2 linked regions of the Alligator mississippiensis genome follow. The protein of the gene in region 2 purifies or fractionates together with the protein of the main gene of each other region. This does not show direct contact. Links are inferred from orthologs where the notes say so. Each region holds a gene or a part of one and is shown on either strand. Other genes may lie near its edges. The genes, in order: NAPG and NSF.

What was found.
Region 1: the proteins of NSF (region 2) and NAPG purify together in Homo sapiens (affinity purification with mass spectrometry; 3 studies listed by BioGRID and IntAct, with this or other methods). This does not show direct contact. The link is inferred for Alligator mississippiensis from reciprocal best matches to the Homo sapiens genes NSF and NAPG.

What each region holds. Positions count from the first base shown.
Region 1 is NC_081826.1:95,961,700-95,978,136, reverse strand, and holds the start of NAPG (gamma-soluble NSF attachment protein), read right to left. Parts: upstream 9,335-16,437; 5' UTR 9,262-9,334; coding exon 9,206-9,261; intron 7,143-9,205; coding exon 7,075-7,142; intron 4,501-7,074; coding exon 4,416-4,500; intron 3,554-4,415; coding exon 3,536-3,553; intron 2,503-3,535; coding exon 2,472-2,502; intron 1,620-2,471; coding exon 1,510-1,619; intron 1,373-1,509; coding exon 1,306-1,372; intron 752-1,305; coding exon 681-751; intron 1-680. UniProt on the Homo sapiens protein: Required for vesicular transport between the endoplasmic reticulum and the Golgi apparatus.
Region 2 is NC_081827.1:170,322,018-170,338,834, forward strand, and holds the start of NSF (vesicle-fusing ATPase), read left to right. Parts: upstream 1-9,189; 5' UTR 9,190-9,268; coding exon 9,269-9,280; intron 9,281-14,544; exon of another isoform or gene 14,545-14,564; intron 14,565-16,817.

The sequences.
Region 1 (16,437 bases), on a different chromosome or scaffold from region 2:
TCTCATGAGAATGATTTACATGTAAAATTAGATAACTTTCACTTTTAGCAGGACTGCAAGCTTTATTACATTGGACAGCATGTGCATTTTTAAAGCAAAGGAATAAATGTGCTTATAAAAGAAAGTCACATATATTTTTACCTGTATTCCAAAAATATGGAGTGGTGAGTTTTCAGGTTCTCAAATGCTTTTCAGACAAATCTCTTTATCAAAGATTTAAAAAAATCAGACACCTGCATATAAATTGTTTTTCTCAGCCAAGTTACATAATTCCCCTAATTTACATCACTTAAGTATGAGTAGAATATCCAGAAATCATTACACAGCTGTTCTGTGAAAAATAAATCATGTGTACATACATATTAAAGACTAAGAGAACCAGCTTTTCTGAAAATCACAATTACTCTTCTTTAATACTGTAAAATTAATATTGAAGAAGAGCAACTGTGATTTCAGAAAAGCAGATAATGCACTGATGAACAGAGCAGTCAGGTACAGCCTATAGAAAATTTAACTGGACCCTTGCCTTAACAAGCATAATATAGCTATCTATTTCCACATCTTTTAAAAAGAGGAAAGGATCAACATACAGCAAGTATGCTGATTCAATGAAAGTCAATATAATTGAACAAAAAAGATTTTGAATATATTTAAACAGAATAAAGATGTAGGAGTTATACCTGCGTCCTCTAACTAAGACTCTTGAGGCCTTTCCTAATAATTCTACAGCCTGCCGTAAACGTTCTTCATTCTAATGGGAACAAAATTTCATTTATTAGTTGTTGTAAGACTATGCAGTTTTTCCTTTTCTCAAAATACATATATAAATAAAAGTGTACACGTACACACACACAAATACTAAAAGACATCAACTGAAATTGATGTATGAGGGGTTCTGCTATGCCCTCTGTGGCTCTGGCAAACATGCTGCTTTCTAACTATGCAGAACTGATGCATTGCTCTCTCTGTCTGGACTACCAGCAAGTGGGAGGAATGTAGCTAGGCCACAAAATTCAGATCCTGTGCAATGGAGGAAGAAGTAGGGGTAAAAAAAGAAAAAAAGTTGCACTCCCCACTTTTATACTTAATATTCAAACAGGGGTTAAGTGACTTCCTGTACAGTACAGCCAGTGATGTGATAATAAGGAACAAGAGACAGCATAGCACCCTAGGCTCTAGTTACCATTAACTATGTTTCAAGTAATTATGATTTCTGACTAACCCTAAATATATTTTTCTTTTACTCAATATGCCTTGCCTGGTGAAGATGATATTCTTCATTAAAAGAAAAATAATAGCACATACTTCAAAAACTGATGCTGCATGTTGATAGAGCTGTACAGCCTTTTCTGGGTTCACATTTTCTACCAGCCTGAAATAAACAGACCAGCATTTTTCTCCTTAATTCAAAACAGTAAACATTTCATTTCCTAAACAAGTAAAAGTCTGAAAGAACAGAAAGTATCCATTCTTTGCAGTGCATTCCAGCTGTCAATTCTGCACACTTACTTTCCACCCCGTTCCAGCGCAATGGCTGCTGTGTCAGGAGTTCCATTCTCCAGGTACATCATACTGGCTTTCTCAATCAGCTGAACTGCTTCAGGAAGTTTTTGCATCTCCTGTAAGTGCGAGTTGGAAGAAACATCAAGAAACAGGCTAACATATAGAAGACAAAATGAAAGCATTCTGAATTGCATTACATTCATTTGGAAATTTCAGTTCCCAACAAAGAAAACTAGTCAAGGATTCACAATCCCACACAAACAAACTTAGAAGATATCCTTCCTGTCTCACACTGCACTTGCATTTGACAAATGAAAAGTTTGTTGGGTTTGGAACAACTCTATGGTGAAGTAACATAATGGTCATTCACATTGTACAGCTACAGAACCAGAAAAGCAACCCCTTTCTCTCTTTCTTGAATTTCAATAGGAAAATGTGCAGCTATTCCCTGGTAGCCCAACTTTCCACTTGAGGGGTACATTTAGCTTAGATGACATACTTACACAAGTCCATACATACACTTACATTTCCAATTTCAGGGTTCAAATGAAATACTATAATTCTCTGAAAAATCTATTTAACTATTTAATACAAGATCATAAACTCCTTAAACTGACTGAAAGGATATAGCTACCTTAGTTTACTAAACACTACTTTACTAACTACTGAATAATTTCTTCTATTATTGGTTAGCTACTGCATGCAAAATCAGCCTCAGGATTCTGACAGGCATGAGGGGTGGGAAGGAAAGGCGAATTAAAATATTTCATTAATCAAGTTTTAACCAAAATAGAATGGTGCATGTTTAAAATCCTCCCAAAGGTCAAAAGGTAGGAAAGGTTTACAGAAGAAATGTTAGCACCACTTTAGATGCTGATAACGCAACCTGAATATTCTTCAGATTTTAAAAATGAACAAGAGCACAGTTGTCACGTATTTGTTTTCAACAAAATGGTCAATAAAAATACCTTTAACATCATGCCAGCTTGTTCATAAGCTCTGCAGAGAGAAAGGAAGTTAGTTTTATTCAAACACTGTTAAATTTTAGTAACTTGAAGCAGCATTTCTTACTATACAGCAAGAGTTATTGTATATCAACTAGTGGTGAATTAAACATTTTAGTACTAATATTCGAAAAGGCATATATCCCATCAAGCATACATTAAGCTTGATTTTAAGAAATGGTACATATGCAAGGGACCATTTCCATGGGCAAATGCTTTTGACCTTATTCAAAGCATGGGGAAAAAGGATTAAGTTTCCAGGCCCAATTTTTTTTTGCTTCTATAACATTGTGTGTGTGTACACAATTTCACACTGGTGCTTCAAACAATCAGACAATCTTTTCCGTATTTGTCTACAGCTGGATTAGCAGAAGGACAGGAAATATCGTGTGTTCTCACTTCACAGGCAACATTGGCAATAAGGCACATAATCATAAAAACGTTAACAAAAAGGTTCTTTTTAAAAAATATTACAGAATACCATATTTACTTGAGGTCTTTACTTAAGACATATGGTAGTGTCCATTAAGCACAGTTCCCCCTACTGCCGACTCTTCTTCAAGTCATGATGAGCCACAACACTGCATATCCAGAATCCCTCTGTCAGCCCTTCTTTCAGTGTGACATTTGATTAGCATGGCTCAGCCTTTCATGAGGTGAAGCTGGACCAGGTTGACCTGTGCCTCATCTACATATAAACCCACAGACTGACCTCACGCCATGTATCTGTCCCATGGGGCCAGAATGTTGAGCACCACTGACATAAACAAGCAATCCCAGTTACAGAAATTGATCCTAAAAGGTGCTGAAAAGCCACAAGTCTCTATAACTTTAATAGAAGTTCCAACTTTCCAAATATTTCCCAGGAAGTCCCTAAGTAAACCTGAACCTGAATCAGTGAAATCAAATGATGCTTTTCCATTTAGTTCCATGGAATCAAAATTCGGCATCTCTAAAACAAATCTCAACTTTAGATGTATACTGCAAACTTGGATACATGTTAAATTACCTGAGGAATTTACACTTACTTGGCTGCATGGAAGAGGCTGGATGAAACAGAAGCAAAGTTAAGGATATCAACAATAAAAATGACAGGTTTCTATATAGCACAATTAATTTATGAAAGTTGAAAGCAAAATAATCCCATTATCTGAATATTTGTTTCCCAGGTAACATTGAGAGGCGAAATTAATCTAATAAGGGCATGCATGCAAAATTGTTTTAAAAAAAATAAATTTAAGGGCAGATTATGAATTTAAGAGCCACTATAAAACCACAGGTGAAACTCAATTACATAAAACTGAAGGAAGTGTTGGTTATACTGTATTAAAATACTGTAATGATAGATTAATATTTTAGAATTACTTAATTTTTTATCACCCATTTCTAGGCAACACATTTCAAGAAAACAGACAAATAATAATTTACTGCAAAAATATAATACATTTTTGTTGGTTGATTCCTCCTATGTGAAAGGCACATTACAAACTCAAAGAGAAGGTCTCATCTAAGGCATGCATGCATGTAACATCAAGACCTGAAAGGAAACTAGAGCACTGGAATCTGTTTTAAAATGTGTGTCTGGCAGTAGTGCCATGCCATGCCTCCACTGTGGAAGGCACCGAACACGAACAGAACAAAAAGATAGTTCCTGCTCCAAAAGAGCTTCTTTTCTTCACTGGAAAGGTCAAAAAAAAAACCCAGCATACCTCTTGGGAGATGTTTCAAAGTTAATTCAGAAAGTCTGGCAATGTAAATTACTTAGTAGATAACTTAATCTTGTGCCTATACTCATTCATACATTTATAAATAAATAGCACATCCTCTTCTAACTCTCATCAGCCTAGTTTTAATTAACAATTCAGATTCTTCAGGCTCCTCAAACAGGAACAGCAAGTCAAAAGATACGCTTTATTATTTTCATGTGCTTCAGCTTCTCTCAAACAGGCTTCTTTTGCCTGGTCATACTGCTTGGCATTTTTAAAAGCAACAGCTGCAAGAAAGTTTAAAAAAGAAAATAAAAGTTATGCTGTTTGTTTTGTTTTTCTCATTTAGCTTCTTTTATCTACTGTGCCTAACACCTAGAGACAGGTTTTTATAAGGTACTTAAAACATGACTATATGCATCTTTAGATGCCTAGCTGGATATCCAAAAAGGCTTGAATTATTGTGGAAAACCCACTATACAGCTGTCCGCATCTTTAGAACTTAAATACTATTAGAAATCTGATCCATAATGAAAAACTATACTTAATTACACCGTCAAGGCAAAGACTTACAAGGCTCGTAAGTTGCTTGTTTTCAGTACTCTCTTATTTTATAAATGTAATCCAAGTCTTTTTAAAATCAATAGCTTTAAAAAATCTGAGATATAGTTTATTTTATTCATTAATCAGAACTGTTGCTGAAGTCTTACCTACAATATTAAAAGTGATGCCTGGTGACAATTCCCCCTCTACCTTCCAAGTAACATGCATTTAAAAACAAGACTCCTACTTACAAAATGCGCCTACAATAACTACGAGCCTTCATAATTAACGATGAAGTGCTACAATAAGACAGCTATAACCTATTTTTAATATGGATTTAAAAGTTAAGCAAATTCTGCTTTGCAAGTTGCAAACACACAACTTTACAAAAAGTTGCAGCTATTTCCATTAAAAGGATTTTTTTTAAATTGAGTCTCAAACATAAGTGAATACTAAGAAGTGATAAAGGCAGACAAGGTCCCTTGGGTGAATCTGGTATCTTTTATTAGACCAACCCAAATAGCTGAAGAATAGTTATTAATAATGTCCTTAGACCAACACGACTACAACCTACACCCCTTCAAGAAGTGATAAACTAAAAACAGATTTAAACTTGAAAAATCCAAAAGGTTCTCCTTAATCACAAAGACATTAAGAGCAGGAAGAAAAGGTATTTCTTTATACAGCAAGCAATCCTCAGAGTTTCTCACAGACTCTGTCTCTCACTCTAAATTCTCTCACATGAGGGTTGGAGAAATAAAAAAGAAAGAACGATCTCTGGTTCCCTTCAAATATTTCTATTATCTGCCTCTAGCCACTCTTGGAACTTTCCCTTTATATTTCAAAGCCCAATTATTTTTCATTTCTTGCACACATTAAGCCCCTATTAAAGATAAACGAGTTCACATGCAAACTGGCCATTAAATCAAGCCCCTGCTTAAAAACAAATGGAAGAGACTATCTGTTCCCCATGATAAGAGGTTCTGGATTTTATTTAGCTGTCAAAACCAAACATATTTTGAAAAAAAAAATCATGATTTACATTTACAGGTTTATAAAACTGTTACAATTACTAAAGGCAGGGATGTAAATATAGTTTTAAAAAATAAGTTTAACCTCCTCTACTTATACAGGTTTTATATATACTTATATACACACCCTGCCCCAGCCCTCTCCCCTCCCCTCCTGGCCACCCTGCTGCCTTCCGATACACACACGTTTCCCTCACTTAATGCTGTACATGCGTTCCTGGAAAACGACACGTAACTCAAATTTGTATAAAGGGAACCCACTTTACAATGCAACAAATACCTCGACTGTACTGACCCCCAGACCCATTTCTACCACTTTTACAAAAGTACTCACCAACAGCACACAGTACACGCAAGCACAGGGCACTATTATAATGGGGATGGCAAGTACAGAAACACATGCCGCAGACAACAAGCGAGAAGCGCAGATCCATACAGGAGACTATATTTTGGTGCACATCACTCCCACAATGCACCGCACAAAGCAGCTGTGGGCTTCCACCACAATGATCACATACAAGTGAATTTACCTCGCATGTAACCAATTTTTGGTATAAAAAGGGTCATCGCATAAGTGAATTCACACATACAGAATTTGCATAAAGCAAGGGAAACCTGTATAAACATACATATACATATTAGCCAATTGCCCGTCATGAATGACAAATTTAAAATAATGGAGTGTTTACATGGCCACACACACACACGCGCGTGCTCTCCCCTGGCCACTCTGCTGCCTTCTGATTTCTGCTGGGCCCTATGTAGCTTCCTTCCTTCCCCTTTCCTGCCAGATTACACCCACCCAGAGCTAAAAGATAACCCATTAGCTAATCAGTTATCACTGCACTTATTGGTTAAGCAATTAATCATATAAGCTTTCACATCCCTAACTAGAGGCAAAACTTTTTTATGGCATCTTTTATTGGACCAACTGAAGAACAGCACTTTGTTTAGCAAAGTTCATCTAGCATCTCTTCTAACTGTACTGCTGGCCCAATAAAAGATGTCACGAAAAAAGCCTTGCCTCATGTATTTCCTGGACCATCACAGCTACAACAACTTTTCAACCTTAGACTTAGTGACTATACCAAATCCTTAGGGTAGAAAATGCAACATGCATTTTTACAGTAAAATCTGAGGGATTTTCAGTTATATACACACACACAATCATTCTCTATAGAAAACATTAATTAGAGAAGTGAGATATCTAAACCATTATTTAGGATTCAACTACTAGAATATTTAAGCTAACAAATTATTTTTTTTATAATTTACAGTCATACATACCTGCCTTCCCATATTCAGTAGCTGCACTATCATAGTCTGGTTTCCACTTTAAGAATCCAGTTTTCAAGCTGAAATGCAAAAAAAAAATAAAAATCATCAACTATAAAATGTTCATGCTTTATATTTAGAGCCCAAATAATCTTTAAAGGAATCCTGAAAAGCACCTAAGAATCTCTACATTAGATAAAAATAGAGGCAAAAGAAATAAAATGATTCACCTTGTGACACATCGGTAAAAATTCAGATGTTCCTGACTCGTGGTTCTCAGAAAAGATCTTTTTATTTACACAGCTTCATATAGCAACATGCAGCAAACACTTATTACCAGTGGTTTTAAAAGTTACCAGATAACACAATTTAAAAAAATCCATGATGTAAAAATATTTCCATCCTCAATATTATTTTTTACTCTAGGCATTTTAGTACTAGAAATGCAAGACTTACAAAAACACAATTTTTGGTGTTATTTGGCCACTTCACACCAATTCATGTCCATATTATTTTTGGCTTTTTACTTGAACAAAATCATTCTGTTGCATGAAACTATAGGATCAAATACAAGACATTTATTTTACAGGAGTTTTTGAAAGTAGAAGCTCCCCCTTTCCTTAGACGAGCCTAAAACTATTCTTGTTGAGAGGACAGTTAGGCATAAATGCACTTTTGGTGGGTGACAATTTAAGATGCATCTCACCTGGTCCCAGATGTTTTATAATGTTTTAAACCAGTGACTCTCAATTTTAGACTCAAGGCACCACTCAGGAGACTCAAGACCCCACCTGGAAAAATACCAATTCCTAATTGTCATTTGATGACAGAAAAATAGTGGAGCGATTCTTCTGTCGCAAACAGCTTGGAAAGACTTCAACATGGCCGCATGTTTTTGACATGGTGGCTTCGTAATTGAAATCTCTGGGTTTATCTTGTGAATCACCTTTCTACACCTAATAGTGATAACACTGCATAGCACCCTTGAAAGTATCTCAAGGCAACCCAGAATGCCACAGCACCCTAAGAATCGCTGCTTTAAGGTAACCCATGCTCATAGTACTTTTGATGCCTTCGACTGCCTGCCGCAATAACTTAGAACAGCACCGCTGGCACAGCTATCCCATTCAGTGCATCTGTCCTCACTGCCTGAATGCAAGCAGCAGGGATCTGTCCTCACCTCCTGGGCACACCAGACTATCCAGTGTCAACATTAAGTGACTTGCTGTAAACACTGGGCTGTCTCAGGAAGCCGCCCATCAGTTTGGCTCCCCACAGGCTGACAGAGAACAAGACTTGACTGTCCCCGCTGCTCTCATCAGACCCCTTCTACCCAGGTGCTTTCCTCAGCTCTCCCACTCCTGTCCCCTCCAGGCCCCTAATCATGGGGGCAGATGGGGCTTAATGTGGGATCAGGCAGAAGGTCAAGCAGGGCTGGGGGCACCTCAGAGGCAGCCTGGCTCAATGGGGCAGGAACCTGCTTTGAGCCAGGGACACCGCCAAATGGTTCAATGAAGCATGGGTGAGCCTGGGGCCATGGCAGCGCCTCCCAGGTTTCTGGTATGGGGGTGCAGGTCGTCTGTCTTCCCAGGGAGCAGTAAAGGAGGCCTCCACCCCGAAAGCTCCATCCCCCCAGGCGTTGCACCCCCCAGCCAAACATCCATTCCTCTAAGGTGCTGCTCCTCCCCCCCAGGTACCATCCCCCTCAGGCACTGCCCCCCCAACCCTTCCCACCTCCTCTACAGTGAAGGCCCCCCCACTTAGATGCCCCCCCCCCCCCCCCCGGGAGGTTCCATCCCCCTGAGATGTCCCCCCAGGTTCCATCCCTCAGGCGCCCCCCGCTCAAGGTTCTATTCCCCTCAGTCTCCGCCCCGTCCCGGGGAAGGTTCCATCCCCTTGAGACCCCCCGGACCAAGATTCCATGGTTCCATCCCCAAGACACCCCCGCAAAAAGATTCCATCCCTTCAGGCACCGCCCCTCCCCGCGCGAGGTCCCATGCGTTGCATTTTGGGAGCGGCAATTCTCCTTCCCCCCCATCGCCAGGCGTCCTGGTGCCGGGGGGAGCGGCTGCGGATCCCCAGAGCGCCTCCCGGGCCCCGACGCCCCGCGCTACGAGGAAGGCAAAGCACCGGCACCGCTCACTATTTATCAGCCTTAGCAATGTGCTCCAGCGCCTCGTTAATTTTCTGCGCCGCCATTGCGTAGAGGCTGGGCAGGGGCCGCAGCAGCTGCGCCACCGACGTCAAGGAAGGGCGAGCTACGGTGCGCCGTGAGGCTCAGGCCGCGGAGCGGGCGGGGCCCGCCTTCCTGCCCCATAGGCCACTGCGCCTGCGCGCCGTGCGGGGGTGGGGCGGGGAGTGGGAGGGGAGGCGCGAGGTTTGGTGATCTGCGCCGGGAGAGCGGGGACTTGCTCTTGCTCGCACGGGCCCGGTGGCAGAGGCTTGCGCACTGTGCTGCCCACGTCCACCACCATCCGTGGCCGCGTCCTCGGGGGCTTTCTCCTGCTGGTGCTGTGTATGGCACCCCCGCTTCTGCCCACGCATGCCATCATCACCCCTACATTTGCCCCGCGGGCTACTCTAGCGCAATGTTTCTCAACCCGTGTGTCCGACCCAAAAGTGGTTTGGAGGAATATGTGAAAGGGTCATGAACAAACCTGAAAAATGGATTCTTCTTTAAAGGAGAAAAACAGGAAACCCGGGCTTTTCCCTCACAGGCTGGCAGAGCTCTGGCCTGCGAGGGGCTGCTTGGGGCCCCCCATTCCTTCCCCATGCACACGGGGCAGGGGGTCAGGAGTGAGGGGCATTGGGTTGTGACTGGCAATTGATGTTTATAAATGGGTCCTGGTCCAGAAAAGGTTGAGAACCACTGCTCTAGCGGGCCTCTGGAAGCCCCTTCCAGCTCTGCTTCCCTGCGTGACCTCAGATGGGTCTTAAGGCTGGTCACAGAAGGACTTGGGTGCAACCGGACTTGCCCAAAGCTTGAGAGCAAGACATAAAAGCTGTCAGCAAACCTAGAGCATGAAAGAACTGGGCTGATTTAGCCTGGAGAAGAAAAGACTGAGGTGGGGTTTGATGGCAGTCTTCAACTACCTGAGGAGATGGAGATGGGCTTTTCTCTCTGGCCATAGGGTAGGGGTTCCCAGCTTTTTTAGATTGTGGACTGGCAAGCCATGGATGAGAAGTAACCGCAGACCTGCAAACTCCAGTCCAGAAGTGACCGTCATCATGAACGCTATGTGTCCCCAGAGGCTTAGGGGGCATGGCGAGCTCCCGCAGGCAGTGGCGGCGCTATTGGCGGCAGGAGCGCGGCGGCGGCGGCAAGCGGGGAGCTCCCACAAACGGCCACAGTTCTGTCAGCAGTGGTGGGGAGGGGTGGCGAGCGCCGAGCAGCAGTTTGGCGACCAGCTGCAGGCACCAGTGGCAATGTCGATGGGAGTGAGGGGGGGGAGCGGTGACTGCCTGCAGGTGCTGCCAGCAGTGTCAGCAGTACCTTTTCACAGGGGGTTCGACGCCACGTTCGGGGTGCCCATGCACCCATGGGCACCCCATATACATCACCAGTGATCCGCATACTGCGGAGCAGCAGCCAACCATTTTTTATACTCAGGGTTGGCTGCTGCTCTGCAGTATGCCAGTCATTTCCAGACTCTCAATCCGGCAGCCAACCCTTCGCAGCCTGGTACTGGCCCACAGCCCAGGGGTTGGGAACCTCTGTGGTAGGGGACAGGACTAGGAGCAACTGCTTCAAGCAGCAGCACAGGAAATTTTCGTTGGAGACTAAGAGGAACTTCCCGACAAAGAGGGTGGCGGTGCATTGGGACAGGGCAGGTGAAGCTGCCTAGTGACACTGTGACCAATCCCTGGAAGTTTTCAGGAATAGGCTGGACAAACGCTTGGCTGGGATGGTTTAGTCAGGACTCACTCTACATGGAGCAAGAGGCTGGACAATCTGACCATGTGAGTTCCCCTCCAGCCCCATTTACGTATGATCCTATGGGACTTCCCACTCATTTTTTTTAAATTTCTATGAGACCTTTGCGTGTAAAACAAGACCAAAACACTCCCAAACTAATTGTTTGATAGTGAACAGCCACATTTCTCTTACAGACGCATGCACCCGTGTTGTATTTTTTTGTACCAAAGTTACCTCTGCAGTCAGCAGCAAAACAAGAAATATGCCGCCACATAACAGGAATTACTTAATACCCAGATTTATTATTGGGCTGAATATGTATTGACTCTTGTGACTGTAGCTATGATTTTACTCTTGTGATTTTACTCAGAGCTAAATCACATCACCTATCCTAGAGCACAAAAGAAGAATAGAAGGAGGTTTCTTTTTGCAAGAGCAGGGTCGATCCCCTTGAGTCCTGAAGACTGCACTAAAAGAAACATTCAGCTAATGGTCCATCTCACCACGAGTGCCACTGGCCGCCACCAACACTGTTGGCGGCACCTATGGGTGGTTGCCACCCCCCACGCTGCCGACAGTGCTGGCAGCATCTGCAGGAGCTTGGCTTACCACCACTGCGCTCCCATCGCTGCCTCTTCCCTCCCGCTGCCGCCAGCACAGCCATGCCCCCGGTCGCTGAGAGCACGTACTGTTCATGCATCTCACATTATGTACCTGTGAGTTATGACAAAGCATGAGCTGCTAACATGGGAGGATAAGACTGGACGAGATCTTTGAGCCATCAAAGCCAGTCCCCTGACAACCATTTATTCAAGGAATCCCCCAAAATCACCACTTCAGACCCTCTCACACAACTAAAAAGCACTTTTCACAGAAACATCAACCACACCCTAAAACGGGGGTCATCAACCTGCCACACGAGTGGCACAGGCAAGCTGTCTGTACATAGCACATGGCAGATCAGGAAGAACACAGCACAGCAGCAGATGGGACAGGAAGCAAAAGGCAGAGCAGGAGATCAGGGAAGGGGCACAGGGCAGGAAGCAAAATGCAGATCAGCAGATTGGGCACAAGAAGGGGGAAAAAGTGGCACTCAGGAAGAGTGTGGGGTGGATTTGTGGCCCCAACCTGCCTGACTTGTGCCCCCAACCTGCCAGAAAGGTTGGCCCCACTGCCTTAAAAACAGGGGGTTTTAAAGGCTGGGGGCCAGATTGTCCCATTTTGTGTAAGAGGCAGGCTGTGGGGATGGACCCAGATGCTGCTGCTGCTTTTCCCTGCCACCAGCATGGGGAAAGTGTCCACCAGAGAAAAGCAGAGACAGGCATTTTCTCTGCACAGGGAAAAGACCTGCTGACATCAATTTTACCTGTGCCCAAAGCCATCACTTTCCCCCATGCCTGCTGCCGTTGCTTTTCCCCATGCTGACATAGGGAAAGCAACTCTGGCTGAAGCCCCATGTCTGCAAGCCAGATCAAAAGACTCCACAGGCTGGATATGGCCTACAGGCCATAGGTTGCTGACTCCTGCCCTAGAACAATCCTTAAGTATAGGAGGAGACAAGGGCACTGCCAATGCTCTGCCATTGCAATTACAAGGGGGCAGTTGGTTAATATATGCTCAAAAGATCGTAGGAAAAGGACAAAGCAAAAACTGCACAGTCCATGCCAATGTGACCTAAGGAAATATTTCTTCCTGATCCCCAAATCTGGTGGAATATCAAGACCCTTTAGCCAGGGATTTCTTATTTTGCTGAGTTCCAGCCACAGCATGCCCCAGCCCCTCCTTTAGGAGGGCTGTCCTCCCAGTGTTTCAGAGAAAGAGTCCCCACAGCCCCCCTATCCATTAGTATCATTCATGAAGTGAAAAAAGGAAAATTATCTCTCCTGGACCCCAGCTGCTGACCAGCAAAAGCCCTGAGTCTGTATCCCAATCTGGAGACTGCAAACATGATTCTACATACTGGGTAGCTGGTGGGAGTATAAGGGGTACTTGGTGATACGAATCCTGTAGCAGATGATGTCCCAAGAATTCTCTTCACATCCTTGCTGACAAGTTTGGTTTTTAGACTTCCTATCCTCATTACTTGGCCTTTCAACTAATGCTAGTGTTTGGTGAGAAAGTGAATTAAGAGCAACCAGAGAAATAATAGAACTGCTGTTTTATAGGTATAGAATAACCTAAGTGAACACTTCTGAAGCACCCAAAGCATTTTTTTTAATTTATATTTTCCTGCCCTACTCTGTTCTTTGGTTATAAAAAGCTATTCAATTCCAAATGAAATTACATATGTGCACTGTCTGGTTACACTTTACTGGAATGACCAGGATAAGGATTTCCAAGAACAGCATTGTATGAAATAGGATATTCCTGGGTAACTTTTAGTTCATAGACCCAAAAGCTCTTTGGTAGATTTTACATCTGGGAAGAAACAGATCACAGCATCTGATGCAGTGCTGTGAATGATCATTTGTTTAAAAGTATACAGGTATTGTATGAAGAAACTTGCATACTTACTGTAACAGAATTGCAAATGAGAAGATTTTGTAAATATAGTCTTATACATTCTGTTTAAATTAATATAGAAGCAGATGGCTCTACGTATTTAACTGTAGGAAGCTATTATGCAGGAACTTGCTGACTCTCTCTTTTCCCCAGATGGGCATGTCACAAGTTGGTTCAGTCCCACTTACCAAATGTGACTGTTCCCATTGGAAGCAGCTGCTAAATTCTACATAGTCCTTTATCCAACTGGATCTGGGTAGTGACAGTCACCGTTGCTAGTTCTGGGTCTCCTAGATGAGAGATTGCACCTACAGGTGTAGATCTTGTGTCTCACATCATTCTTGGGCAGTAGGACCATTCAGAATAGCCACCAAACCATTGAAGCCAGTGCCTTAACCTGCCAGAGCTTCCCCTCCGGGTGCTGAGACACATTTTCACCAGTCTGCTTGGCTTTGGGAGCTCTGATTTTCCTATCTTCATGGATAGGAAAATCATGTGACAGTAAAACAGAAACACGGCAAAGGAACATCTCAAACATACCCACTTTACTTTAAAAATAAACACTACGCAAAACAACATATTCCTTGACATAATCACTCTAGTCTCATTTCTCTTTGTGATTTCTCAGGTTTGGTCAGTGTCTTCTCCCTCCACTTGCTCCAGGTGGGTCTTCTATTTCTGACAATGTAGTCCCTTGGTTCGCCTACAGCAATGGTTCTCAAACTGGGGGAGACATACCTCCAGGGGTAGTTACCTAAGTTTTAATAATGGCAGCAGAGCTTCTGATTGGTCAACATGCAGTGAGTAATGGTGGTGCCTCATTTGATGTTGGTGTTGACACCTCTTCCTAAAAAATGAATATGCAGAAATGTATCAGGCCTACGGGGTATAAGGAGCAATATTTTGCAGGTAAAGGGGTACATGGCCAAAAAAATTTGAAAAACACTGGTCCAGAGCACATACCATTTTTTAAAAGATCTCTGACATATTTTCTGTCCCAGTATTTCCACTAGGAAATTTCCAAGTACCATTCTTTCTTAACCCTTCTTTCCCACCCTTGGGTTCTAGAGCAAAGTGGCCTTGAGTCTGTCAATGACCTTGCTGATGGGAAACTCCTGGTTCCACTAAGGTATTCAGCTATTCAAAGTGAATGGCCCTAATTGCTCTATCACATCGTCCCAGATACAATTTTTCCATAAATTCTCAGGTTCCTGCCAAAACAATTCTCAAAGCCACACTACACATTACATGGAAAATGAAGTATGAACTATACCCAAAATGGAATTTAGAAGTTGACACAGACCTTGCCTTCAAACTGTCACCATACGCTCAAAATGAGTAGTGCCTGAAATGGCTTCTGGAACAGATGCAGGAAAAATCAACACAATTTTTGCCAGTTTAGGAAGCCCGATTGTCTGTTTCCACTATTCTACAAGGTTGCCAAACTGCACAATGAATGGTTCTTCCAGATGCCATTGCCTGCTCGGTATCCATAAAAGGGGGATTGAGGAAACAGAAGCCTGAAGTTTCCTCTCCAAAAGCCCAATCCATTAAAATCAGGGAGTTTCCACACTTTCAATTGTGTACCTCATCAGCTGCACAGTCTTGTATTGCTCATGCAAGATTTTCAGAGGAATGATAACAGATTCCCTATTTTTAGCTTAAATTTTGCCAGCACTGGTCCATCTGACATTCTGCAACATAATTTAGTCAGACAGCCCCCAGCAGCTACTCTGTCACTGAGCTGTATGCTTCTGAATCAAGAAGCCCTGGACAGAAGCCTCCATAGAATCCTCTTCTGACTCTACGTTTTAGGGGGGAAAAAAGATAATATTTTATATTTCAGCCTATATGTGTGTCTTTTTCAGCACATTCCACAGTTAAGTGCATTCTCAAAGCATGCATATTTGTCACAACAATGAAAACAGCTTGGTTTGTGCTTATTTCACTTGTCAACTGCTCAAATGACTCAGCTGTACCAATTAGTCTCTGCAGCATTCCCTTGAGATAGACCCTTTAATCCCTTAGCATAATTCACTTTCAGAGCTAATTTATTTTTAAGCATACATTTTAACATAACATAATTTCCATCCTATGACATCATACATTAATTAGGTAACTGAAACAGGCTTTTTTCTTTGTGTAATGTGCAGTTTAGAAACTACAGTGGAGTAAAAAATGCTTACAATTACCAGTGACTTAGTAAAAGTAACCATTATGCTTTCTCTTAACTGTTGTTTACATAAAACAGCATAACTACACATACAGTATATGTGTACATCAGACCAAATTAAAATGCAATCAGAAACAGCGATGCAACTGTCTCATACTTCCATAGTTTTTAGGAAAAATATCCCACCTTGACACCGAATTTTCATGTGACCTTTTGGAAAAGTAGTCCCACTACATATCCTGTTGTGGCCTTCCAGCGCAAAACAATGATTCTTGAATTCAACTGAGTAACTAAATTCGGCAGCTATGCTCAGGGCTGGACACAGGCATGGGTGAACTGGGCAGCCACCTGGGTGCCGGACAGAAAGGGGCCCTGAAAATGGTAATTTTTATTATTATTTTTATCATTATCTCTGGTGAAGGGGGGCCCTGATACTAAAAGTTTGCCAGGGGCCACCAAAAGTATAGGTAGGGTGCTGGCTAGGCACAGTAAGACTTGGTCTTCTTGCTCTGAGTCCAAACATCAGAAGCAAAGGAAGCAGATCCTGCAGCCTTTTATCAGTATTAAAACTTGCTAATGTACACTTGCATGTGTACTGCTGAAACAAAAAATATAGAAGAGGATTTGATTATATTATTCCAGTAGTTTGAGCTAATACATTTTACATCATCTACAATAGTGTATGTCTGTATAGCAAGTATTACTGAAGTGAATGAAGGTTTTCTAGACTCCTGAAACATCTGGAGTCTCCACTGGGCAGGACACTTCTCTGGACTATACTGAT
Region 2 (16,817 bases):
TGGGCTGGGGCAGCGCAGGAGCCATGCGACCGGTTCTTCAAACAGCTGCTTCCCAGGCGAGGCGGCACCCAGCTGATTGCAGCAGCTGACATTGCCACCGCAGGAAATTTAAAAACCTCGCCAGAAGCTGGCAGGGGAGAAAAGGAAGTCAGCTGGGAACACGCTGGCTGGGCGGGTGCTGGCTGTGGCATCACAGAAGACACTGCCCCACAGCAAAGGAGAGGGAGCAGTGTCTGGCATCAGGCTGGGGATGGGCAATCCTCAGCCCCTCAGCATTAAATCATTCCAGAGGCCTCCCTTTTGGTGGAGGATGCCAGATGCCTGTGGCTCAGACCCTTGAGACCAGGGAGTGAGGCTCCAGGCTTATCATAGTTTCATAGTAGCTAGGGTCAGGAGGGACCTGAACAGATCATCTAGCCTGACCCCCTGCCACAGGCAGGAATGAATGCTGGGTTCACAAGACCCCAGACAGGTGATCACCCAACCTCCTCTTGAATATGCCCAAGGTAGGGGCAAAGACCACTTCCCTGGGAAGCTGGTTCCAGATTTTGGCCACCCTAACTGTAAAATATTACCTTCTGATCTCTAACCTAAACCTATTCTCCATCAGCTTATGACCATTGTTCCTCATCACCCCAGGTGGTGCTGGGGAGAAAAGAGCTCTGCCTATTTGCTGTTGATCCCCCCTGATGAGCTTGTAGACAGCCACCAGGTCCCCCCTCAGCCTCCTCTTGCTGAGGCTGAACAGGTTCAGGTCCTTCAGTCTCTCCTCATAGGGCCTGTCCTGCTGCCCTCTCACCACGCGGGTGGCCCTTCTCTGAACCCTCTCCAGGTTGGCCACATCCCTTTTGAAGTGCGGCGCCCAGTACTGGACCTCAGTACTCCAACTGCGGCCTGACCAAAGTCGCATAGAGGGGGAGTATCACCTCTTTGGACCGGCTTGAGATGCACCTTTGGATGCATGACAAGGTATGGCTGGCCTTGCTGGCTGCGGTCTGGCATTGGTGGCTCATGTTCATCTTGGAGTCAATAATGACTCCAAGATCCCTTTCCGCCTCTGTGCTTTCAAGAGGGGAACTCCCCAGCCTGTATGTATGCTGTGGATTCCTTCTCCCAAGGTGCAGCACCCTGCATTTGTCTACATTGAACCCCATCCTATTCTCATCTGCCCACTTTTGTAGTCTGTCTAAATCTAGTTGCAACCTCTCCCTCCCTTCAAGTGTGTCCACCTCGCCCCACATCTTAGTGTCATCAGCAAATTTGGACAGGATGCTTTCCACCCCCTTGTCCAAGTCGCTGATGAAGATGTTAAACAGTGTGGGCCCTAGGACCGAGCCCTGGGGAACCTCACTGCTCACATCTTGCCAGTTTAAGTATGATCTGTCCACCACTACTCTCAGGGTGCGCCCCATCAGCTAATTTTTTACCCATCCAACTGTGTAGGCATCAATGCCACAGTCGCTTAATTTATTGATGAGGATGGGGTGAGAGATAGTGTCAAAGGCCTTCTTAAAGTCTAGAAAGACTACGTCCATGGCGACACCATCATCCAAGGATGTAGTTACTTGGTCATAAAAGGCAATCAGGTTGGTCAGGCAGGACCTACCTTTGATGAACCCATGCTAATCCCCTGAGCATGATCTCCCCTGCTGGTCCCCCATAGATGTGCTCCTTGATGATTCTATCCAAGATCTTCCCGAGCACCGAGGTGAGGCTTACAGGCCTATAGTTACTTGGGTCCTCCCTCCCTTTATTAAAAATTGGGACTACATTAGCCAGTTTCCAATCCCTACCTCTGATAAGGGACAATCCCCAAGATTGTCCCTTATCAACATCCCAGTGATGGGCCGGACTACTGAAGCCAACGCCGGACCCCATAGTTAAGGGGCCAACGTAGATCGTCGGGGCAACAAGCGGAATATCTGAGTGGACAGGGTGTAGGGGAGGCAGAGCCCTAAGGAACACCGCAGCACACTTGTGAGTACCCTGTCTTCGGGCCTATAGGGGAAGAGAACACCGCTGAACCTTCTCTTCATACACCAACAAGTCGTGGCAGGCAAGTGGGGGGACCCCGACCTAGGGGGCGGTGTTTTACTCACAGCACCTACTCGAGGCATTACAGTGACCGAACAGTGGAGAAAGGAGATGTTCACTGAGGCAGGATGCAGACCCTCTACTTATGCTCTCCTCCTTCTGGAGGAGATGGTGCTTTTAGGTGACTTCCAGAGGTGGAAGAGGCAAGCAAGCTATGACCGGTCTGCAGAGATAACAAGCATCCCTTTGAATGTGAGGTTCACATTCAACAGCTACTTGAGAGAGCGGTATGAGTATCTTGCTCCCCATGACTTGCAAGAGATCAAAACAGTCATGAATGAGACTCTAGCCTAGTGCATAGTTTGGGCTTCTCTCCCTCACCCTCGGGAGAGTCCTTGCTCCCCCAACATTGCAACATACTGGCTGAAGGCATGCTTTGAAACTCATAGCATAAAGGCGAGAACACTACAAGCATCCATGCCTACAATGCCCTCCCCCTCCAAGCCTATCCTCAATGCTGTCACCACTAGAAGACAGTGCACTGCTCCATAAAAAGCCTGTGGTGACACTGGACAGTTCTTTTAAACCTCCTTCTCCTGCAGGCGAGAACCAGGGATGCAGGGCAAAACAAATCATAGAATCACTGAGAAGTAGGGTAGAAGGGACTTACTTCCAGAGGTCACCTAGTCCAGCCCCCTGCCTAAGGCAGGATCATCTCCATCCAACCATCTCATACAAACCTATAATCTAATCTCTTTGTAAAACTACCATCAACCCTGATGCAACACAGGGCATATCATCTTAATCTGCCACAGGTAAAGCAGATCGACTATGGTGGCCAATGTCCTGGTGCTGCAAAGGTTGTTGATACATGTTCAAGAGATTGCAGGAAGAGGACCATGCCCCCCCCCCCCCCAACTGACCCTGACCCAACCCCTAAACGGAACAGAAGAGGGACATTTTTTCCAGCAACTTCCTCACCCCCCGCTAGCCCTTGACATCCCATGATGACCACCCTCTGGTGTTTGCTCATCTCTGTGGAACCTAAACAGGACTCAATGCACCATCACCGTCCCTTCAACAAGCAATCAATACTAGTGGACACCAGCGTGGCAGGGGGGTGAAGTAATCAGCCCGACTGTAAAAAAAAAAAAAAAAAGCTACCTTTGGGACTGTTCTGTTTCCTGTTAACCTGTGAGTGGCCCTGCAGGAATGAGGTGTCAGCAGATAACTTAAAGACCTGTTAAGTGCAGGGGAGCTCACAGGAACCCACTGTAGAATGGACACAGATCTATGAGTGAACAACGCACATTGTTCCCCCAATGCCAAGGTTTAATTGTCCCGTCCATCTGCATGCCCACCTCCAACAGCAGCCACTGGGGATGGAGGCATGGATGTGGGGACACCCTGGACAGGTGGGTAGTACTATGCCACTGCCCCACCTTTGTGCACCCTCAAGCAAAGCATGTCTCTGTCTGCCTTGCTCACAGGGTCTAAGCCTGTACTCATTACAGGGGCCAATGATAAGGTTGCATAAGTAAGACGGGTGGGGAGCAGGGCCTGTGCAACAGCATGAGGTTTAGTTTGAAAAAGTGGCCTCTGGTTTTGTGACCAACTTGCACCAGGGTGTTTTAGAAGTATTGAGCACTATAGACTGCAGCAGGCATGAAGCTGTGATGGCTATCTCAAGCTAGACACCCAAAGTCAGGTTGCTTTGGAAAATCTATTCCCCAGGCTTATGGAACATAGATGTGACAGCTTGCTGGGTCTAAAAATAAACAATCTGATTGTATTTAACACTTACTTTGTATTTGATTTTGTCTGGGATCTTACAGACCAACTGGAGCATCTTTACTATGGAAAAACATTCAAGTCTCAGCTTCCAGGAGGGGATGAAAATTAAGGCAACCATTAACTCCTGCTGGGCTAAGCTTCAACAACAATCTACCCTTCCTGCCCTTGAATGCTTCTGTTTCTTCTTGAGGTGTTTGATTTGCTCCTTGCACTGCATGGTAGTTGATTTGACACCTGTCTCTACTAGGCTTTTAAAATCAGCTCATCTGGATAACCGTGGGTGAAATTCTATTATTTGGAATATTTGGACCAGTGATTTTCCAGAATCACACCAGCCAGTTAGCAGCTTTCTGCATGCAAAGCACCTCGTCGTTTTCAGGGCTGGACCAAGCAATATAGAAACTGAAGCAAGCTGGATGGGAAATGAAGGGTTAAAATGCCAAACAAATACTTATGAATCCGCTGATAGCACATGATGCAAAATAGGGAAGCGGAAAGTGACATGATGGATCCAAGGGTTAGAAAAACCTGGGAATGACAGTGAAGGACTATTTGGACTCAAGCACAGCACAATAGCAAAATAACTTGCTAGGGAGCACAGCAGTTATACATTAGCTTGGTTCCATACCTCCAAAAGAGCCTGTCAGCTCAGGTTTTACTTGCTTATGGATGTATGCATAAGAGCTGGGAGGGTATATAATAAGTGCTTCAGCACCGTTGCCGGCTGCAAAATATAACTAGGCTCCACTGTATCTACATGCCATGAATCAAGTATAAAGCGGTGATCTCTCTAAGAAAAATGCTGCAGTCAGTGCAGATACCACTCTGCTTTTGAGTCACGTTTGATAGTTGCAGAGTTGCATTTAGATACAAAATATTGCAGGAATTATCTGATGATCCTTATTTCTGAGTCACTCTATGTTGTGAAATACAACACAGAAAGAAATTGTATGGTGTACAGCAATGGTATGGTGTGGTTATAACCAGAAAAGTGTCTGGACAAAAGATTGGTTCAGAGAAGTTCCTTCCCAACCCACTCAGGTCTACTGCATAAACCTTATGCAGGTCTTTTCTGCTCCTGTGGTCCTCTGTCTGCAACTAGAGAGGCTTTTGCTCAATTTTTCCACCTTCCAGCTGGTCTCACTCCACAGATCCTTCACCTAAAGCTAAAGGTCATCTTGCTATTTCATAGACTCTTCCCCAAACTCAGGCTGCCCTTTATAGCCCAGCAATTAGCATAAATGACTAGAGTAAACAGCTAGACATTAGGGTGGATGACAGGAATCAGTTAAATTCTATTTGTAAAAAAGCAGGAGAGTCCTAAACTACTTTAATGCAGTACTGCCATTTCACTTGCAAAATCTCCCCTTTAGGAATGCTTCATTCTCTATGCTACCACCAGTTTAGCAGTGTCATCTCATGTGTGCTAGAGCTAAGCAAACTGCAAAGCACAGTAATTTTTCACTTAAAATATGTTTCTCTTGGGTCCCTATCCTGCAAAATTTTATGCAACTGGCTGGGGCCCACTCATATATAAAAAATGAATTGCACAAGTAGCTATTTGTAGAATCCAGACTATATAAAGATACACAACACAAGCCCCTGATGAGCCAAGATTGTACTGCAGATCACCTCAAGCCAGCTTCTGACGGATACCCACATGCTCTCAGCAACTGACTTTTGAAGTTCTCATTACCACACCTGAGTTGAGCAGGCAATTGTGCCTTTGCCGTGGAGTGCCTCACTGGCCACGTGTGGAAATCCACCAGGGTCCATTCCTCCCTGCTTTTAAAAGGATTCTAAACTGATGTTTTTCCTCCAAAGCTGTTTTTAGAATAAAGCTGGGGTGCCAGAGCAGTTATTTTCCCTCCCCTGTCCTTGATATTTCCTTCTTACTCTTACTAGGTCTTCACCTGCTTTATCTTGTCAAAGTTACTAAATTTTAACTTATCATTATGCCAACTTCTCACAAGCAAGAGGGGGTAACTAGACAAAAATACCAGAGAAACTAAGAGGATTTATTAGCTCAAGGACAAGAAACAGCAGCAAGTAGCTGCAAAATGGTAACCATAGAGATGAAAAGACCAGTTTTAAAAGGCATACTGGGAAAAAATGTTCCCATTGACAGGTAACCTTGCACTAGGGAAAGTTAGTACCAAATAATATTATAAAGAAAGGACTCCTAGGACAGAGGTTCTCTCTGTGTGTCATATACCTTCATATTGGGGCATAGAAGTAAAGTTGTGCAGTTCTCTGAGCACTGGAGCAGAGGAAGAGATTTTTTTGTGTCATGACAGGGTGACAAAAGCTTCCTTTACCTCTACTCATTGTGTTGCCCTTGTGTTTGTCAGGCTGAAAAAAAAATTAGAAATTTAAAAAATCTGCAATAATTTAAGGGTTTTAAATTTGTATCAATATGCATTACAATTTTTGTTTGTTTGTAACAATATCACCTTGCTGAGTCACAATCAGCCTTATAAACTCCAGAAATCCTCTTCTGCAGTATTGTGCTCACCCATACGTTCCCCATTTTGTATTTGTGCATTTCACTGTTCCTTTCCCAAGTATTTTGAAGTTTGCCTTATTTAACATTACTTTTTTTTTTAATTTATCAAGATCCTTTTGAATCCTATTCCTGTCTTCTAAAGTGATGTCAACTGAAAATAAGGATACTGAAGAGAACTAGACTCAGGAAAGACCCTCTGGGAATCCCTCTTTATTACTACCTCTTTCTAGTTTGACATTGAGCTATTGATGGCTGCCAGTCCAATCAGTTATGTACCCACTTAATGGTAGCTTCATTAGATCATATTTTATTAGCTTATCTTTCAGAATATTGCATTCTTATGAGAAGGATTTGAATAGTATGCAATAAATAAGGCCAAAAGCCATACACACAGAACAGTGAAAATAAAACAAAAATTGGATGGCTGCTCCATCAGCAAGTATCATTCATCTTATGCACTGACAGATGTGGGATCCTTTTACAGAACAGCATGTGAACATGCCATTAAATAATGCACAGTCAGCTTTAATATTTGTATTTCTTAATTTCTGTATGCCTGGTTTTGCAACCTTAACATTTTTTATCTGACTTGCCTTGCAGCAAAACAAAAAATCTTCATCATGGCTGTGACACCAGCATGCTAATGAAAACACATATCCCTGCTCAAAAGGATTACAGTCTAAATGGTCATATACATCAGACAGACAGATGGACAGAAAAGTGGGCATGGGAGGGAGCAGGATAACAGAAACAATAGACTGTTTTATCATCTTCTAGTTTCTTGCACAATTTTTAGGTTGTATGATATGTAATGCAATTGTGTGGTGATGCATTCGTTCTGCACAATGGTGTCATAAATACCACACACATTAATGTTGTATTAGCATATAGCAAGGGTGTCAAACAGAGATGTGGGTTTTCCAGAACATTTTGAATTGGAAAATTTTCTGGAATGCCCTAAATAGAGCATGATCTGATTTAGCACGTCTATTTGACTTATATTTAGTAAACAAACCTAAAAAAGTTCCCCCATGTTAATTTTATGTCCCAATAGCCAGAAGTATTTGAACTGAAATATATGATTGGGAAAAAAATTAAGTACAGCACACTTAATGTGGTTTAAATGTTATATTTTAACAAATTCAAAGCTTTATGTGGAAATAAATAATTTTTATTGGAATACTTGTAAAAATGTAAGGACAATGCACAATAGTGTGTACTTCCCTTACACTGTTTGTTTAAACTTAAGAAAAAAAACAAAGGCACTGAAGACTGTCAACACTAATTTTAGCACACCCAAAGAACTGTGCATGATATGCCATGGTTGCCCACTCATCTACTTCAACAGCGTCTAACTCTCTTCCACTGAGGTCATTGCGGCACCTCCAGTTTCACTGTCACTATCTGGAGAATCACTTGTACTACTTATTAGTTTCATTTCAGAATCAGATTGAGACAAACCTGATTCAGAACTACTTGAACCACATTCTCGTTCACTAAAGGATGGTTTTACCAATGAGTCTATGGGCAAGGGCACCTTATCATCACACTGCATCTTCTTCATTAATTGCACTTCTGACTGATTCTCCAGAAGCAAGAGATTTTGAGAAATTGAAACAAACTTAGCCAGGACCGGCCCGCAATTTTTGGGGGCTCCCTGCAACAAATAGTTTTGGGGGGCCCTGACTTGAAGAAGCTGGTGGCGGCAGCAGTGGGGGAGGGTGGCAAGCAGCTGGACATGAAGCCAGCGGCAGTGGTGGCAGTGTCGGCAACAGGGCGGGGGAGGGGGGGGGGGGGCGGGGTGGATGGTATTGAGCAGCCAGATGCAGGGAGCCCCTTAGCTGTAGGACCCACTGTGGCCACAGGTTTTGCAGCATAGAACAGGCTGGCCATGAGATTAGTGGTGTGTTCATTTGGTTTTGATTTGACCTGCACAGCCAATTAGGTGAATTCATAACTTGATTTTTGGTTTGGATTATTCTGTGAGTGTATTTACCCTCTTGTTTATAAATCAGTAAAACATGTATGTACTCTCTCATACACTTCCTAGGGATAATCACCTGAAAAGCATTAATTACAACTTTGAAACTGCCAAGCTTGCCTAATATTGTATTGGCATCTATTTATTGTTACTACTGAATTTTGCAAAACAATGAATTTTTAGAAATGGAAAATCTCCCATGGAAAAAATAAAGCACTGGAAAATTTTCCACCCCATGTCTCTGGTGTCAAATATGCAGGCCCTGGGTCAGATCCAGCCTGCAGAGCCCTACCATGGAGCCTGCCCTATGGGCCCTGGACCAGCCCCAGGCACAGACTGCAAGACAGGGCATAGACCAGGGGTATCAAACTCATCTGGCTCCAAACCTCTCTGGGGCTGGTGGTAGGACGGGGCCGGTTCAGGGCATGCACTGGTTCTGGCATGGGGAGGAGGGGGGGTCTGTCCTGCAGACAAACCCTGTGCAGTCACCTACCCTGGAAATCTTCACAAGGAGACTGGGCAGTCACCTCGCTGGGCTCCAGTTGTCTTTTCCTGCCTAGTGCAGGGGGCTGGACCCGATGATCTACAAGGTCCCGTCCAGCCCCGAACCGCTATGAAGCCATGTGCCCCTTCTCGGGCCCGCGGAGCTGGATAGGGTGGACACCCCTTCCCCCATGGAGTCAGTGACGTTGCATGCGGCTGTCCCTGCAATCCCTGTGCCCCGAGAGCCGTCAGCGCAAAGACTCACAGCCGGCGCGCGCGGAAGCACTGCCCGGAGGCGAGCAGCGAAGGCGGCACCACGGCGCAACTCAGCCACGCCGGCAGCGCGTGACGTCCGGCCGCTGCAGGGCGATCTCTGGCCACGCCCCTCACGCTGCGTCGTGCGTAGCGGGGCGGGGAGCCGCGGCAGCTGCCTGTCAGTCGGCGCTGGGAGCCGGACGCACCGGGTCAAGATGGCGGGACGGGTGAGTGAGCTGGTGCGGCAGGGCAGGACCGCATTGCCCCTCTCCCGCGCTCCTGCCCGCCTCGCGGCGGCTTATCCTCCCCGGGGCAGCAGCGTGTCCTTCCCGCTCCGCCCCTGCCCCTGCCCCTGCCCGCGGGCGGGGTCCCTGGAGGCGACGCAGCCCTCGCCCGGGGCCGAACCGGCTGCACGCATGGCCCGCAGGCGCCCAGTGGGGCCCGCGGGGTTCAGGTGTTGCTGGCCGTGACACCCCCCCGGTGCCGCAGTCCCTGGGGCCACCGGGCCCGTGTCAGGTGCGTACCCCGCTGCCCAGAGGTTTTCGGAGCTTGGGGACCCAAAACAGTGTCCCTCCCCCTCCTTTTTTTTCTGTCAAAGAAACAAGTGAAAATTAAGAGCTGGTGTTTTCCAAACAGCCCCTCTCATCCACGGCTGAGTGAGAGCGGGCCCACGCTGCGTAAAAGGATGCCGTCCTTGTTTTTGCTTCTAGTGCTGGAACCACAATAAAAATGAGAGCAGCGACAACCCCTGGAACAGCTGGCTTCATCTGTTTGGGTCTCCCCCTCTTCCCGTTTCCTCCCGCACCCCTGAGAGATCACTGCACATGCGCTAGTCTTTGTTGTCAGGACATGACGGGTAGCGAAACAGGGCTGTCTCATATCGTGTAAACTCTTCCATGTTTTATTTTTACCACCCTGTATCAGATGTTGTCTGGATTTTCCTCTGATCCATCACCTGTCCCGTCACGTTTTTTTGGAATTTGCTAGAAATGGTGCTGTTTTTACAGCAGAAGGGGGAACTCACATGCAGCAGTCTGGCCTGATGGTGCGAAGGATGACGACGAAATGGTTGCATGGTGCAGTGTTTTTAACTGCGCGAGAACACGTCTGGTTGTGCTGCTGGCTTTTCTGGGTGAAGTTAGGTAGGGTGAATCTCCAGGTTTACGATTGCGAGTAAAGGAGAGTGCTTGTAGGATTTCTTTCTTTTTCTAGAAGCAGAGTGGCAAATGTTATTTAAAAAATAAAGGCTTAACTGCACCAACTTATCTTTTCCAGCACTGAGTGTTGCATGAGCAAGTCTTATTTTAAGGACTAGTGGAGCTAAAGCACCGAGTCTCATATGCTTAAAACCTAATAACCCTTCCATCCCCTTAAGAGCATGCTATTCTAGCATCAAAATGCAACTTGTCAAATGATGGGTGCCTTCAAATAATACTGTATGGCTAATATAGGTGTTCCATTGTGTTCACAACATAATCAAAACAGAGAATAAATGCTCGTGAAATCTAAGAAGCCTGACTGAGAGGAAAGTAGTCTATTTTTAAGGGAAAAAGTGATTTTAGTCACAAACATCTATTGCTTGTTTAATGTTCCTATAACTCCGTTGTGGCATTATCTTTGAACTTTTTAAAAGTTGAATGGTGTTGCCTACAGTTTCCAAACATTTTTCCTGATACGCAGTTGGTTTAAGTACATTGCAGCTCGCCAAACATGAAGTGTTTAGACTGAAAATAGTCTATGCCAAGAGGCTGTCTCAATCTGAACACCTTTTTTTGTTTGTTTTTTGGAAGTTTCAGCTAAGACCGGTTAGGCTATTTCATAGATTCATAGAAGTAGGGTCGGAAGGGACCTTGTAGATCATCAAGAGAATGCAGTTGGGGGGGAAAAAACAAACGTGTTTCTGTAGTGTCTCCATGCCTTACTGCAAGGATTTGAAATTTGGTAAGACGTGACTAGTATCAGGGGATGTGCCTTTTAGCTTCCCTCCATGTAAGCTTGTCTGAGAAGGCCTCTGAGTAAAACCCTCTGCACATGCTCAGCAGAAAATTCGCTGAAGACTCAGTAAATGCTAAGCATACTCAAGTCCAGGTTGTTGAAGCTGAGCTGGATTTGATCTGCTTCTTGTGGCTGCTGCACCAATAGCCAAAAGTACAAAGATGATTTTTCTGTGCTCTCTCTGCTGCTGTGTTGCAGCCTGCAGAATAGTACAGAGGTAACAAATGTTTTTGCTTGAGTTGGCTTGAATGCTGGAAGCAGGTTACCTGCAGCAGCGTTTGGATGAGCTAATTTACTCTGCTTTTTCAATTAGGTAAAGCTACCTTGGGTATGTTGTTTTGGTGCAGTCTTCAGCATACACATACTTGGGCCAGGGTTGACTTACTAAAATGAATGTTGTTGCTATTTAAAGATTTTATTATTAAAAATAAAGATGTTTAAAATGAAACTTGACTATAATACAAGATGGTAAAGCCTAAACAATGTACAACTGCCTAAAACATTAAAATAAATAATCCTCTAGCAGAAGCTTTGAGTTACAGGCTGCAAGCTTTTCTATATTAAAGAACTGGGGGAAGAGAACATCTGACTTCTGAGGGAGGTCAGGTATTATGAATATGGCACAACTACAATATTAAGAGAGTGATTCTGTAGGGTACTGGATGCAAAAGACTGACAAAGAGTCCAGGTCCCAATGCCTGAGGTAACTGAGTCCAGGAGATGCCAACATGGGTCTCAGCATGATTACATTTCAGTTACCACCCTAAGGTAGCTCTTTGACATGACTCAAAAGTTCATTCCGTAGTGAAAGTGTGGGGGTTCACCTTTTTGGGTGGCATGCCACTAATTAGCCCTAAACACTCTCTGAGTGCCATTGTGATCCCCTTCCTCTGTCTAATCTACTGCTCTGCTTTCTGCTCCCTTCTCTGTACCTGATCTCCTGCTCTGCTTTTTGCTTTCTGCCCTCCTCATCTGTCATATTTAGAGACTTCCCATGCTGCTGTGTGGCACTCATGCTGCAGGTTGGTCACCCTGATCTAGTGAGTAGGAATATATATTTCAGTATTTTCTAACATACCAAAATGTAACATTAATATTAATATTAAAATTAATTGATAATTATTTGAAAATATGATGCTGTAATGCTTTTTAAATTCATGTCTACAGCTAAGCAGATTCTCCTAGATTTAAGAAAGATGCATCAAATTTGGTGCAAAGGCTCTATTTAGTAGGAGCTAGATAGCAGCATAAGAGCAGGGGATAGTGAAACGGTGTGGATCATTCAGAAGCTAGAACATGGTTCCATGTAACAATTTCTGTATTTGCTGCTATCTTGAATAGCAGTGATGGGGGAAATGCCTCACTTCAGAATTTTAAAGCTCTTGGGTTTGCCTTCCTGAATGATTAAAAAATCAAAATAATGAAGTGTTAATATTAGGAAATGACTTTTAAAATACTGCTCTAGAAAGAAATTACTCGGATTTAGTTTAGAGCATTCTTCCTGTTACTGCAGTCATGGCTGGGCTGCTCAGATTGTTTGTGACCTTGACTCTGAGGAGGAGTAAAGAAGAGTTAATCCTCTGTCCCTCCTCCCCATGAAAGAAAGGTATTTTAATATCTTCATGCAGAGAGTAGTTCACCTTTGGTTTTGTACTGAAGGTCAGAGTTCTGAAATACAGAGGGGCCAAATACTGGAGGCTTTTTATTTCCACTTCTGCTTTACTCCATGGCTTTTGTAGTATATAGATGCTCTTATTACCTTGAAATCCACCTTTTAACTTTAAACATATAGGTATTAAAGATTATTTATATCATGCCCAAACCACCTTCAAATCTGTATATTGTCAGGGAGAGAGAACATTCTCAAGCTATTATAGGGTGATTGTGGGCTTTACAGAGACACTTGTGTAATGCTGGAATTGCTATCAGGTGATATGATAGTGATAATTCATTACAAACCTGTTACCTGAAATTCACCTGTGAGTTCCCTCCCAAAGCCTATTTTGGGGATATTGTACAGGAACCTGTGGACACCAATGACAAGGCTTTACCATTTTGAAATATGTTGTATCTGCAATCTAGAGTAGCCTAGTTCTGGTTTATTTTGTTCTGTCATTTGGGGCTCAAAAAATACTTGACAGAAAGTGAATTTTAACAGTTTAGACTAAAATGGTATAATGAAGAACAATGTCTGTGTAGTCTTTTCATTTCTAAAATTACTAGGTTTGCCTGAGTCGTCATCACCAATGATTTTTTCAGTTGGGTTCCTAGGAGATATTGCTTCCTTTTATACTGCTAGAGAGGGCCGTGTGATTTGAATGAAATGCCTTGCGGGCATTCAGAGAGTAAACAGGTAAATAGTAATAGAAATTGCCAAGCTTGGCAAATTCTGTATGGCAGAGATGATATCTCAGTGCTTTACAATACTGGGATGCTGTTGGCACATAATGTTATGCACCTTGTCTTCTATATCTGTCTCCAAGGAACAGAGAGACCCCTCTACACACACTCGCTGTGCTTGAAGTAACCTAGTAGAAACACTGAAATGGTTAGGATGTTTCACTGTTTGTTAGTCTTTGGTCTCGCCTCCTTCCCCATTCCCTTTTAACATATGGAATCAAAATCTTCAGATACAAGGTGTCATTAGACATCTATAAAAACATATTAACTTTTGGACTAATTTAGCTTTTCCTCTGCTGATGTGATATTCATCCATTTTCTTTTTTGAGGTCATTTATTTTTCTTGGTAGTAATCTTAGTATAATACGTTGAATTGGCTTAAAATAAGAGGGAGCTTTATACTTCAACATTAAAAGGTGGTGTCATCTTAACACTTGTATCTGAATTGGTCCAAGGCAGGGGTGGGCAATTATTTCGAGCAGAGGGCCACTTACTGAGTTTTGGCACGCCATCGAGAGCCGCATGACAGGCAGCCAGGGGCAGATAAATATTAATTTTCTACATTTTTAGGGGCCCTGTGGGCTGGATAAAATGGTCTGGTGGGCCACATCCGGCTCCTGGGATGCATTTTGCCCGCCCCTGGTCCAAGGGATTCCCATGTAAGATCTTCAGCCTTAAGAGATTCATAGATTCATAGATATTAGGGTTGGAAGGAACCTCAGGAGATCATTGAGTCTGACCCCCTGCATAGGCAGGAAAGTGTGCTGGGTTTAGATGACCCCAGCCAGATGCCTATCTAACCTCCTCTTGGAGACTCCCAGGGTAGGGGAGAGCACCACCTCCCTTGGGAGCCCATTCCAGATTTTGGCCACCCTTACCATGAAGAAGTTCTTCCTGATGTCCAGTCTAAATCTGCTTTCAGCTAGCTTATGGCCATTATTTCTTGTAACCCCCAGGGGCGCCTTAGTGAGTAGAGCCTCACCAATTCCCTTCTTCGACCCCATGATGAATTTATAGTCAGCCACAAGGTCACCTCTCAACCTTCTCTTGCAGAGGCTGAAGAGGTCCAGGTGCCCTGAATAAACTGTAGGCACGCCTCATGCAAGACTGTCCCAGGTACTCTGCTGACTCAACTTTTCTGTTCTCCCTCTCCCTCAACTTTTTAAAGTTGCATTTTAATACTCTAAATGTTAACAAACATATTGATGTTCCGTGGTTTTTACATTTTTCCATTATTTTTGACAGTGAATATAGGGTCTGATCCATTTCAATTCAATTTTACTTTCTGGGTTTCATGCTGAAGCTCATGGTTGTAAGTGCCACAGAAGGAACATTTAAATTCAAACTATAAGGTCTTTGTACTAGATTTTAAAAAATCATGACACATCCATTCATAGACTCTTATGAACCTGACTCTGTGCTAAATTGGCTGCCTCGTCACATGAGCTCTCACAAACCCTATGAGATCCGCTGGACCTTCCCCATTGACATACTGAACTGGTGGGCTGGGAGAAACATCACCTAGACCAGGGGTTCTCAACCTTTTTGTGCTGAGGACCAGCAAGCCGTGGACCAGCAAGCCATGGACCAGCAGTGACTGGCATACTGTGGGCCAGGTAGCCAACCCTTTTTCATACTCAGTATAAAAGTTGAGTCTGCAGTATGCTGGTCACTGCTAGTCTGCGGTTTGCTGGTCTGTGGTCACTTCTGGTCCAGCAGCTAACCCTTTGTGGCCCAGCACTGGGCCGTGGCCCAGCACTGGGCCATTGCCCAGGGGTTGGGAACCCCTGACCTAGACAAGAGAAATAGGGAAACTGATGGAAAAAGATGCAAATACCTTAGGTGAACAGACCTACTCACCCTGTGGACTGACCTATCCATTGTTTTCTGCTCTTCAGGAGCCAGCCATAGATGAGAGGGAGAGCAGCTGAAACACTGACAAACAAGCAGGCAGCAAGATATGTTTTGTTCTGGGCCATTTTCCTTTCACCTTTTGGCAAGAGACATGCAAGTCAAGTGTTACCTTGCTGTCGGGTTCTGAGAAACAAAATGGCTCTTTCATGTCAAGGATATCCCTGCCTTCAGCAGGAGCTTAACTAATATCTATAAAAAGCCTATTTGGGAATCATCTCATAGTGACCATTCATGGGTTACACTTACTGCTGTGCCAAACAAAATGTGGGTCTCCTTTCAGGGTCTCTCTTCAGTGACCATTTGATATCTTGGTGATAGACACTTTTGGCTCATGAAGATCTGGGAAGTAGGTGTTAGGTTGTCTTCTAGCTTGGGTGCGAGGCTATTCCAAGAAATTTTACAGCTCCTCTCTCTACTCCAATGAGAGCTCTCCCTTGGGACTAAATTGTGGACTAAACACCTTGTACTGAACATTCTTCTGATCGTTTTTCAGGAATGCACTGGAAGTCCGTCTTTAAAGTTTGTCAACCTGCTTACATTCTAGTTTGGCAAGGAGCTTTTTGTAGGTTAAGGCCTTATCAGGGGGCAGTAGTGCTGCACACTTGATGCCAAAGTTTGCTAAGTAGTAAAGCAGTCTTTATTCTAAAAATCAAACCTAGTTACAGGAAATATTTTTTCCATTTCTTTTCACCCATATGTAAAACATCTAAAAATTAATCTGGCATACTGCTGGTGTCAGGAGAGCTCCAAAATTAACACTGAATGCAGTACCCAATTCAGAAATTACTACTAGTCTGCAGTGCCAAAGTAACTGCTCCTGGCACAGCTTCAGTTATTAGGTGGATAAATCTTTGCACTTCAAATACTAAGGGAGAAGCCACTTGTCTTCTATGAGTTTTTGAGAGAATATTATTTAATCATGGAAACCTGGTAGTTGGAAGAGTCATAGGCAGTGGTGAACCAGATATAGGAGGGTACCTGATTGTGTTTTGTACCTTCATTAAGTTTTACCATTTAAATTTTTGCATTTTATCATTTCCTGCTGTTAGCAAGGAGGTTCTGCACTCTGTGCTTTTCAGTTACTGATACGACACATCTTCCTGCTTATTTTTTTCTGCTCTTGGTAACGGACTGCTATGGAACATCCCATTGCAATGGGAAATCTTTCCGTGCAAAAAAACAGGAAAACTTTTCTTTTTGGTAGCAGACAAGTACCCAAATGGATTGCAATGAGCCTTACTCCTGATTGAAGTCCTTTGGAGACAAGTACTGCATTTGTCAAACAGGTTGTTCTGGAACTGGCCACACCTTTAAAGCCTTTCCCATTTTGAGGCTATGCCTCTACCATTGATCTTCAGGTTTTGAAGAGATTTAAGATCTTCCTTCTCTCACAATCCTGTACCAGGATGAAAATGGCTGTTTCTGGATGTTTCTTGCTTTCTGGAGCACTTACCA